Callithrix jacchus: one gene and its partner. The protein of the gene in region 1 purifies or fractionates together with the protein of each later gene. This does not show direct contact. Links are inferred from orthologs where the notes say so. Each region holds a gene or a part of one and is shown on either strand. Other genes may lie near its edges.

What was found.
Region 2: the proteins of TDP1 (region 1) and XRCC1 purify together in Homo sapiens (affinity purification with mass spectrometry; 4 studies listed by BioGRID and IntAct, with this or other methods). This does not show direct contact. The link is inferred for Callithrix jacchus from reciprocal best matches to the Homo sapiens genes TDP1 and XRCC1.

Annotation. Positions count from the first base shown.
Region 1 is NC_133509.1:124,881,702-124,887,866, reverse strand, and holds part of TDP1 (tyrosyl-DNA phosphodiesterase 1), read right to left. Parts: intron 3,379-6,165; coding exon 3,193-3,378; intron 2,591-3,192; coding exon 2,542-2,590; intron 1,021-2,541; coding exon 954-1,020; intron 1-953. UniProt on the Homo sapiens protein: DNA repair enzyme that can remove a variety of covalent adducts from DNA through hydrolysis of a 3'-phosphodiester bond, giving rise to DNA with a free 3' phosphate.
Region 2 is NC_133523.1:38,032,725-38,038,141, forward strand, and holds part of XRCC1 (DNA repair protein XRCC1), read right to left. Parts: intron 2,929-5,417; coding exon 2,835-2,928; intron 2,741-2,834; exon of another isoform or gene 2,679-2,740; coding exon 2,546-2,678; intron 2,018-2,545; coding exon 1,963-2,017; intron 1,872-1,962; coding exon 1,732-1,871; intron 1-1,731. UniProt on the Homo sapiens protein: Scaffold protein involved in DNA single-strand break repair by mediating the assembly of DNA break repair protein complexes. Negatively regulates ADP-ribosyltransferase activity of PARP1 during base-excision repair in order to prevent excessive PARP1 activity.

The DNA.
Region 1 (6,165 bases):
AAAGCTCCAGCCGGGCGCGGTGGCTCACACCTGTAATCCCAACATTTTGGGAGGCTAAGGCAGGAGGATCACCCGAGGTCAGGAGTTTGAGACCAACCTGACCAACATGGAGAAACCCTGTCTCTACTAAAAATACAAAATTAACTGGGCGTGGTGGTGCATGCCTGTAATCCCAGCTATTCAGAAGGCTGAGGCAGGAGAATCGCTTGAACCCAAGAGGCAGAGGTTGCAGTGAGCCAAGCTCGCAGCATTGCACTCCAGCCTGGGCAACAAGAGCCAAACTCCATCTCAGGAAGAAGAAGAAGAAAAGAAAAGCTCCAGGAAAACACACTGAATTATAGTTGAAAGCTATAACTCAAAGTAATTCTGCTTTCATTTCTGGCTAACCAGATCACCAAACACCTGTTAAGGCAAGCATGAAACAGATTGGCCTAGCATATGCAGGCTGTAGTACATGAAAAAACAGACTGGCCTAGCATATGCAGGGTGAAGGACATTCCTTTCACTTGTCCACTTAGCATTTACTGAACTCTGACAACATGCCAGATACTGTCCTGTATCCTCAGGAGACAACAGCATAGGATCTGCCCTCACCAAGCTTGCAGCCACACGTGATGGTATAGACAGAATAATCATACTTTATATTTTGGAAAAATGGACTAAAATGCTGCTTATGTAAATTCTAAACTACCCAATATGATCTTTTATTTGTCTTTCTTGGCATGCCAATATTTAAATAGAAACCTCACAGCAATAAATTTTCCTCTTTGGTATTAAAAACCTATCCAAAAAAAAAATTTTCAAAACCTTGTTTTAAATTATTTCCATCACCAACATATGTAGATGAAAGAATATAGCTATATTACATAAAGTTCCTTAAAAAAAAAAAAGTGACATAAATAACATTCTAATTCCTAAAGAAGCAATAGCAGCAGTCTAAACCAATTACTTACTGAAAATAGGAATGCAGCCAATTCTGTTTTTCAGCTGTCTGGATGCTATAGGGAAGAGAGCCCCCAGCTTTTAAAAGAAAAATAAAACAATAAAAATTATGAAATAGAATTTTAGAATCCTTCACTAAGAGGAAAGTCTATAATAAACAGCAAGAAGGTTAACAGGAAAAAACTACTTCCATTACTTTATCTTATGGAATAGTTATTTGAAAGAAAATGTCTATACTTGCATTAGGTATGTTCTCTTAATGGGTTTCCTTCCTTAGGTATGATAAATGTTTACCAGTATACTTTGTACTGGCTGAACAGATTCTGACACACAGAAAATAATGGCTAAAAAACAAATTAAAATTCAGTAAACAGTTCAATTTGAAAAAGGAATTCTAAAAGCCTTATTCTTGCAAAGAGAACAAAGAAAGTTCCAAGTGGAAATGCAACTGAAGTCAATGCTTGCTCGTCTTGAAAAGGACAAAAACTCCATTGTGGATTCATCAGTGACTTTCCAAACACATGCTGGAACTTCACAGTGATCTATATCCAAAGAGATCTATATCCAAACATCGCTGACATATCAAATAGGGAATGTCCTGTCTTCAATTGCAAATAACTAAAAAGATTCCATTTGAAAGCCAGTTATAAAACATCTTTGTTAAAAATACCATGTTGTTCCCCATTAAAAGTACACTTCGAATGAATCTAGCCTATTAGAGACACAAAAAGAGGACCAAAGAAAAATGACCACCGTATCAGAGGGTGGTCATTTTTACTTTATCACAGGGTCTTGGTGAAGTAAGTAATTTTGGTTTTGCCATTCAAAAGCAAAAAAATTGGCAAATACATCCCAAACGCTATCGAGATTTTTCTGGCAGATGTTTCTTTTCCAGCCTGATAAGCAATAAATGAAATAAATTAGTCTAATTCGGTACACTCTGCTTTCAGCCATCAGCAAATGCCAATTACACTTTGCTTTTTCTAGAGGCAACCACTATTTGGGTTTTCAGTTAATACCTCCTGATTACACTATCTACGGTGCTGCTGAATTCCAAATAAAGGTTTAGCACCTGGTATGGGTGTAAGGGAAGTGAAGAACAAGGCTCACATAAAATACCTACAAAAAATCTTAGGCATTTGCAGATGAAGCCCTTGAAAGAACAGACACATCAACAAAGTTATATCAAAGGTAAAAATTTAAAAATTTCAGACCCTAGATATATATGTATCAGGCATTTAAAAAGACCACGTGGTACCTCAAACACAGGAAGTGGAGAGAGATGAGAGGAAGGTATGTTAGCTAAGCTCTGAAAAGGGAAGCTGGTTTTACTTGACTATCTTGTCTGGACAACCTGCTGGTTACCTTACTGGTAAAAATGAGAACCAGTGTGTAGAGGATTTCTGTGAGGATGAACACCACACCCAAACTGAGAGGTATCATCTATGGAACACAGAGCTTGATACTACCTATTTCTGTGATCCTTATATAGTTAAGTGAAAACCATCTCCAAATTTCTAACCAATACTAGTAAAAGTTTACCAGGACATTCATGAAATATACATAAAACACAACTGAGACAGTCTCCCAAAGAATTACCAGGATATCCTTCTAAACTGGTGCGCACATTTTCCACAGAAGGATAGATCTAAAAATAAAAGAAAAACAATACAACTTGGAATATATCATGTTGAAGAAAAAGAATGACAATCAGCTTTTAAGAAAATGAAAATCTCAGTTAAAAATACTTTTAAATTTGAAAATATCCTTTAAATTTTAAACTGTTTTCATCTTATAAAAAATAAACTAGTAATTAAACAACAGATATTTGATGAAAAGTTATAATTCAATTTGAATATTTTTTCCTTGCAATGTGAAGTTAACATTGAATGAAAAATTAATTATTAATTCACAGGTCTCTAAATAATTAAAATGCTCATAATTCTGCTGGCTATGCTACATCAAATATTTTCTTCCTTGGCTCAACAACCTGAAAGGAAGGATAGAAAAATCACAGGCCAATATGTGTCAGTAATGGAGCTCCTGAACAAATCAGCAAGCTCTTGGCATTGGATGGTATTGAAGCAATTTGATTACAAATGATGATGCTAATGTACCACTCTTTCCACACCTCCATAATCCCACAAAAAAGAATCACAAAATAAAACATCTCTTCACTACAAAGTGGATCAATTTTCAATTCTTCTCCTGTGTAGAGAATAAATTACCACAACGAGGACGAGCACTTACCAAGTAAAGAGGAACAGAGCTTTTTCCTGGAGTCTTGCTTTCCTTCCCCAGTGCCAGCATGCTCTCTTTAAACTCAGAACATAACCACTTTGATTCATCAGCTCCCAAAGAGCCAATGCTTGAAAACTGGCCTACTACAGGCCAGGACTCTTCGTTAGGTATGGATGAGGCATGGTCTTTCAGAACCTGGGAAAGAATAAAAGGGAATGCTAAAGTGACTCAAATAATCTTAACAGAAATGCTGTAATACCTGAGAACAGTTTTCTGCTCTTGGAATGCCTAATTAACAAGAAAAGCTGAAAATACTAGTGATCAATTTCATGTCCACATATACACATTTTTCTTCTTTGGGAAATATTTTTTTAAATACTAAAAACATTTTTAAGGGAGTAGATGGACAGATGTTCTCCTTTTGAAAATTCTTTGATTTGTACTAAAAGTAAAAACAGATTTAAGAAGTTTAAAAGGCCCATTTCAGTAGAAATGTCAGATAATCCACCAACTTGTCATGTGGAATTAGATTTCTTACTTGAAATCATAATTGTTTAATGCACCTTTCCTCTGATACTGTGAAATATGTATTTGGTCTTCATCCCTGCTTCCAGGCATTCAACAACTAAAATCCTTGGGATCTCCAATGTGTGTCTTTCTGTATGTTAATGAGACTGATGGCTGGCAGACCCTAGGCAACCTCAGGATTGGGGCTGGTCATGAGAAAGACCAAGGCATGACCAAACGTCACAACACCCCAACCTCCAGAGATAGGAGGGGCTAAATGTTGAGTCGATCACCAATGGCCAGTGATGTAATCAACCATGCCTATGTAATGAAGCCTCTATTAAAAAAACAAAAGGACAGGGTTGAGGGAGCTTCCTCACAGCTGAACACCTGCAGGCTCCTGGAGAGTCATGGTGCACCCAGAGAGGGCATGAAAGCTCTGTGCCCCTTCCCATACCTTGCTCTATGCATCTCTTCATCTGTATCCTTCATAATAAACCAGTAAACATTTAGTACATGTTTCCCCAAGTTCAGTGAGCTGCTGTAGCAAATTAAACCCAAAGAGAGGGTCATAGGAACCTCAACTTGAAGCTGGTCAGTCAGAAGTTCCAGAGGCCCAGACTTGCAACTGGTGTCTGAGGGAGAGGGGCAGTCTTGTGGGACGGAGTCCTCAATCTGTGGGATCTGAGGCTATCTCTGCAACTGAGTACCCCTGTATTTCTTTTAAAAAAGTATTTTTTCAATTATTTTTTTCTTACTTTTCTCTTTCCTCCGTTCCCCGCCACTCCTTCCCCACTTTCTAGTTAGCTATTTAGAAATGCAATTATAACCTTTTATTCTTCCTTCACCAGACACTCCCTATAGGGCAAGTTCATCTAACTATGTGCTTAGAAGCTCTAGAGCAGAACTTTCCCCCACCAGGGTACTGTCTCGGGGGACAGCAGTCAATTTACAACCCAAAGTATGCCCACTACGAAACTCTCCCACCTGGAGAATTTCCACCAGCTTTACAACCTAGTTCTGCCCAGAAGAAATCAAATGGACTGCCTGGTAAAGAAGGCAGAAAGTAAGAAAGTAACCACCTGCTTGTTTCCTCCCCTGTGTGCCACTCATGCCAGTGCTCCGCTTTAAAAGTGCCCACTTTCTGCTCCAAGAGCAAAGCCATACCCCTTTAGACAAGAAGCCTGTGCTTATTCCTCCAAGCTAGCTTTGGAATAAAAAGTCACTTTCTTTATACCAGACCTTGCACTTGCTAATTTGACTCTACCAGCCGTGACCAAACTGAACTGCGTTTCAGCTACATCTCCAGGAAGGCAGCATAAGAATTGAAGTGAATTAGAGGACACCCAGTTGGTGTCCCCTGCTTAGTCTATGAGGAAAGTCACATACATATTTGGTCACAGAAGTTTTCTGTGTTGACTGTTGTGGTGTCAGAGCAGGGGAAACAAAGTGAGTTTTTGGCTAAGAACACTTAAACAATACCTAGAAGGTGAAACTATTACATATTTTGACTCCTATCATGTGAAAGAGGCTTAACATTCATAATTCACAGTTTAACACTTGAGCTCCAGGCAGCTGTGATGGTCTAAACATAAAAGAAAATATATTTACATACACATACAAGCTAAAGCACTGGAGAAGACCAATCTGCATTTCCTGCTTTGACAATTATGCAAAGCTGCAGAAACAATTCAGAAAATATTTCAAAACTATATCCACTTAAATATGTACTGGATACCTACCCAGAGGGTTGGAGAGAGCAGAAAAATAAACTGTAGTTCCTGCCCCAGTGGAGCTCATATTCTGACTGACATTTTGTGTAATTAAATATGTATTATTTTCCTTAACACAGCTTAGGCGCTAATATCAACACATACACTTCCCCAAAATCCCAAAGTTTCCATTTCCATCTTGGGTGCAGTATAGTATAGGAAACAGAGCTGAACCGAAAACTTACAATACGCAGTTTCTATTATAGGTCTCAGCCCCAAAGGGCTGCCCTATCCTGGACAAGTCTTCAGCTTAGACTTACACTTTGGTGGAAACAGGCATCTAATCACCGGCCTGCCTTCTTGGAAGAAAGCTGTGGTACAGCATGAGAAACTGTGTGTAAAAAGTGGTTTGAAAACTTCTTACAGTTGAAGTTTCGGTATCAGATGGTGATCACACACAATACGTGCTATTACCTAGCCGATCGAAACCATTAGACATTAGTCCACAAACTGTGTATACGTACTAAAGTCTTATTACCATGTGTCTTGTACTGTTTTACATTCATCATTTCACTTAATCCTCAAAATCATGGGAGGAAAATAGTATTATTATGTCCACTTTATAGACAACAAGCAATGTAAGTTAAGGAACAAGTCGAGGTCACATGGCTTGTAGGTAACAGAGCAGGATTTGAACCTAGCTATGGGTATCTGCCTCCAAGGCTGGGCACAGGCCAATGTGCTCAACTTTCTCTCTAGGCCA
Region 2 (5,417 bases), on another chromosome or scaffold:
ACGCTGGTCTTGAACTCCCGACCTCAGGTAATCCACCCGCCTTGGCCTCCAAAGTGCTTGGATTATAGGCATGAGCCACCACGCCCAGCTGTGATTTGTTTCTGACAGACAGGCTGGAGCTACTTATTTCTCATGTTGTTTTTTTTTTTTTTTTAAGACAAAGGCTTACTCTGTCGCCCAGCCTGGAGTGCAGTGGAGCAATCATGGCTCACTGCAACCTCTGCCTCCTGGGCTCAAGTGATTCTCCCATCTCAGCCTCCCCAGTAGCTGGGACTACAGGCTTGTGGCAACCACACCCAGCTAATTTTTAAACTTTTTGTAGAGAGACGGGGTACTGACATGTTGCTCAGGCTGGTCTCAAACTCTTGGGCTCAAGCAATTCTCCCACCTCAGCCTCCTGAGCAGCCAGGACTACAGGCGCACACCACCATGCTCTGCTAATTTTTAAAATTGTAAAGACCTAAAGTCAAGGCGGGGTGCAGTGGCTCACCCCTGTAATCCCAGAACTTTGGGAGGCCAAGGCAGGCAGATCACCTGAGGTCGGGAGTTCAAGACCAGCCTGACCAATATGGAGAAACTCTGTATCTACTAAAAATACAAAATTAGCCAGACATGGTGGTACATGCCTGTAATCTAGCTACTTGGGAGACTAAGGCAGGAGAATCACTTGAACCCTGGAGGCAGAGGTTGCTGTGAGCCGAGATCATGCCATTGCACTCCAGCCTGGGTAATAAGAACAAAACTCTGTCTCAAAAAAAAAAAAAAAAAAGCCAGGGGATCTTGCTATGTTGCCCAGGCTGGTGTTGAACTCTTGGATTCAAGCAATCCTCCCACCTTGGCCTCTCAAAGTACTGGGTGAGTCACTGCACCTGGCCTGGCTGGAGCCACTTAATGAGCTTAACCCAGGTTGGAAACATCAGTATCTGCTACTTCTTCACCTTTGCTCTCCTTTCCAACCAGCACCTTTCTTGCTCTGACCTTTGGAGTGGCTCCTCCTTCCTTCCATTTGAAGGTGACATTCTAGGCCATCAATTTGCTGATGCCATTTTAGGGGTTTTGGAGAATCAAAGCATCTTCCTGCCCATCACTCTCGAGGAACTGTGTGGAAACGGCTCTTCCGGTAGCCCCTGAACTGCACCACTACACAGCCCCTTCTTTTCCTCCTTCACTGCCTTTCCTCGCTCCCTTCATTCTCAAAGAAGCTCTGCCTCCCTGGCCCCATCCCACAACTCCCTGCAGAATTTCCTCGGTTCCTTTTGTTCTTATTCTTTTACACTGGAAATGCAAACACACATAACAGCAGCCATGTCCAGGGTGATGGCTGATGTTACAGCGAACACTGGTGTGCATCTACCCAGGGCCTGACGGAGGGCAGTGCCCCTGTCACCTGGTGTACCCGGCCTCACTCTGGACCAAAAGAACTGCACCCAGGCAAGTGAAGCACTAGTGGGAGGGTGAAGCGAAAAAAAGGGGGGTCACACCTGGTACATGGCTGCAAGGGGAGTAGTCAGAACAAGAAATCTGGAGGGAAGAAGAAGGCAAGTCATGGAGAGGATGCTGAAGGGAAGGGAACCTGGCAGAACCTGGAGGTGCTAAGGCAGGGAGTGGGTTGGAGAAGGAGAGGGGAGACAAGACATGGGGCAGCAGTGACCCCAGGGCTGGCCAGGGCAAGTAGCAGCTTCGAATTGAGAAGGGAAAATTCCACTTTGGGAGGGATGGGAGATTTCCCACCTGGGAGCTCCGGGACTGGCAGATCAGGAGTCTCCTGGTGTTCCTCGTCGTCGGTGTTCTCATCTGTGGAGCCTGCATATGGGTCTTCCCCATTCTCCTCCTGGCCAGGGGGCAGTCTGTGTTCCTTCTGCTCAGCCACCCTGGGGGTGCCAAGAGGGGTAGAGAGTGAGCATGCAGGGCAGCTCTCCTACACCCAAGGCCAGGCACCCTAAACCCCAGCCCCAGCCCTACCTCCTCAGCTCATCTTCTGTGTCCCCAGAATCTTCTGCCCCGTTGTCCTGTCCTTCTGCAAGGAGAAGCTCAATCAATGCAAGGCTGCCTTGTCTCCTGGGAAGACCAGCAGCCCTCCCTGGCATGGGTATGGCACAGACCCAGGCATCTCATGCCCCCAGCTGCAACTGCCCTCCAGATCCAGTCATCCAGGCCCCAGCCCCTCCTCCCTCAGACTTAGGAGTCCAGAACCCAGACCCTCCTCCTTCAACCCAAGAGTCCAGGCCCCACTCCCTACTCCCTCAGACCCAGAAGTCTAGGCCCCACCCCCTCCTCCTTCAGATGCAGGAGTCCAAACCCCAGCCCCTCCTCCCTCAGACCCCAGGATCTATGTCCCCAGCCTCTCCTCCCTCAGACCCCAGGATCTATGTCCCCAGCCCTTCCTCCCTCAGACCCAGGAGTCCAGGTCCCCAGACCCTCCTCCCTCAGACCCAGGAGTCCAGGCCCCAGCTCCTCCTCCCTCAGACTCAGAACCCAGGCCCCAGCCCCTCCTCTCTCAGACTCAGGAGTCCAGGCCCCAGCCCCTTCTCCCTCAGAGTCTGACCTGACTGTTCCCCCTCAATGTCTCTATCTTCCTGGGGCACTGGTGAGGCTGCTTTGGTCTCTTCTGGGGTTGGGGGCTTCTGGGGTGAGCTGGGTCCAGCTGCCTGAGTGGGCTTGGTTTTGGTCTGGGGAGGCTGAGGAGGGAGAGTGGGTGGGTGAGGAGGGCAGGAACAGTGTGGGTGTGATGGGGCGGTACCTGCAAGAGGCAGGAATACGAAGTTTGGGGTGCCACAGCAGAACCATGTCATCCTCCCACTACACCCTCCCCCACTGGAGAGGGGGCATCAAACCTTTCGAGGAAGCTTAGGGGCTTCATCACCACTGCCACCGCTGTGAGAGGCCTCATCGTCCTCACTGCTTGAGTCTGGCCCTGCCATGAGGTACCTAGGGGAGGAAACGGGCCTCAGATAAACAGGCCCAAGGGAAGTGGGGAAGATGGATGTTCAGAAAGCAACAGTCGATGGCATTTACTAAATACACACTCTGATGGGCTTCATGGTCTTGTTCCCAGCCCGCCCCTTCCCAGCTCAGGAAGGCCCAGTGAACCCACTCAGCCTGGCCACTTGCCCTGCAGACCTGGGCACCTCCTTGCTTCCCCACTCCATCTTTTTTTTCTTTTTTTGTAGAAATCAGGGTTGTTTTTTTTTTTAATTTAATACATTCTAATCAAATAGTAACAGCAGTAAATAAACACTTTGAAAAACAGGCAGGTATCCCCCTGTATCTGGAAGAAAATTAAGTCAAAGTATTCTACACAGCAGAAGGGAGACAGCTGTTTATGTCCATGGTTAGACAATTCAAGGACAACCTGGAAATTTCTAAAGCCATTTCCAAAAAATCAATGGCAACAGGTTGAGACACAGCTATTTCAAAGGGTAAAATGCCTATACCTATATTGGTTTTTATTAACAGGGATTGAGTTGCACCTGCATCACATGACATTCTTTCTTTTCTTTTCTTTCTTTTTTTTTTTTTTTTGAGATGGAGTCTTGCTCTGTTGCCAGGTTGGAGTGCAGTGGCGCAAGCTCGGCTCACTGCAACCTCCGCCTCCTGGGTTCAAGTGATTCTTCCGCCTCAGCCTCCTGAGTAGCTGGGACCACAGGCACATGCCACCACACCTGGCTAATTTTTTTTGTATTTTTAGTAGAGATGGGGTTTCACCAAGTTGGCCAGGATGGTCTCGATCTCTTGACCTTGTGATCTGCCCACCTCGGCCTCCCAAAGTGCTGGGATTACAGGCGTGAGCCACTGCACCCAGCCAATCACATGACATTATTGTCTTTTTTCTTTTTCCTTTGAGACAGGATCTCACTCTGTCACCCAAGCTAGAGTGCAGTGGCGTGATCTTGGCTCACTGCAACCTCCACTTCCTGGGGTCAAGCAATTCTTCTGCCTCAGTCTCCCCAGTAACTGGGATTACAGGCATGTGCCACCATGCCTGGGTAATTTTATTTATTTTTTGTTTGTTTGTTTTTTTAGGTACAGACAGGGTTTCACAATGTTACCCAGGCTGGTGTCAAACTCCTGACTTCAAGTTATCTGCCCACCTCGGCCTCCCAAAGTGCTGAGATTACAAGTGTGAGCCACTGCCTGGGCAGTATTCCCCTCCCTCTTGGGGAAGAAATGTCTCAATTCAGAAAGGAATGCAAAGTCAATTTCTCATTAGGAGAATACCTGCCATTTAAGGGGAAAATCTCAAAGCAAATACATTTTAGAGACGCCAACACTATAATCATGGTTCCTTAAGCCACTAACACTCCAGGAAAAGAATTTTTCTAGCTCTAACAACAGCGGCAAGTAGCCAAGCTCAGTGGCTCACGCCTGTAATCCCAGCACTTTGGGAGGCTGAGGTGGGTGGATCCCTTGAGGTCAGGAGTTCAAGACCGGCCTGGCCAACATGGTGAAACCCTGTCTCTATGTGTTGTTTATTTTTTTGATAGGGAGTCTCGCTCTGTCACCCAGGTTGGAGTGCAGTGGCACAATCTCCGCTCGCTGCAACCTCTGCCTCCCATGTTCAAGTGATTCTCCTGCCTCAGCCTCCCAAGTAGCTAGGACTACAGGTACACGCCACCATGCTCAGCTAATTTTTGTGTGTGTGTGTATTTTTAGTAGAGATGGGGCTTCACCATGCTGACCAGGATGGTCTTGAAATCCTGACCTCAGGTGATCTGCCCGTCACAGCCTCCCAAAGTGCTGGGATTACATGCATGAGCCACTGTGCCTGGCCTTATCTAAAATAAAAATACAAAAATTAGCCGGACGTGGCGTCAGACACCTGTAATCCCAGCTACTTGGGAGGCTGAGGCAGGAGAATCCTTTGAACCGGGGAGACCTGGGAGGTTGCAGTTTGCTGAGACCACTCTAGCCCACTCCAGCCTGCGCAACAAGAGCAAAACTCCATCTCAAAAAATTAAAAAATAAAAACAGCAGCAGGTTGACACCTACATGGGACTTCCTACATGTCAGGTACTATTCTACTGAGTCACTGAATCCTGAGGTAGGTGCTAGTTTCAGCCCCATTTCACAGGTAAGGAAACTACGGCACAGAGATTATTTAATTTGCCCTAAGCCATAGGGAAGGTATGCAGAAGCAAACGAATGTATTAGTTTCATTCTTCTGAGACATCCATGTTGAGACCCTTCTGCATTTAATTTGTTTGTTTTAAAGCTGGTGAAATGCTGTTTAGGTGAGTCACTCTCATAAAACAGTGGCTCACAGGAGATTCAGAGGATTTAAAATGCGGTAGTTCATTAACAGTCAATAGTAGGTTTACTTAACTTTTTCTTCAAAGTGCTCTGTATTCAAAGATTTCTTTTAAAACGTAAACTAAATTTGTGCTTATTAGGTATGGAGAGTCATCCCCTTGGGGTCT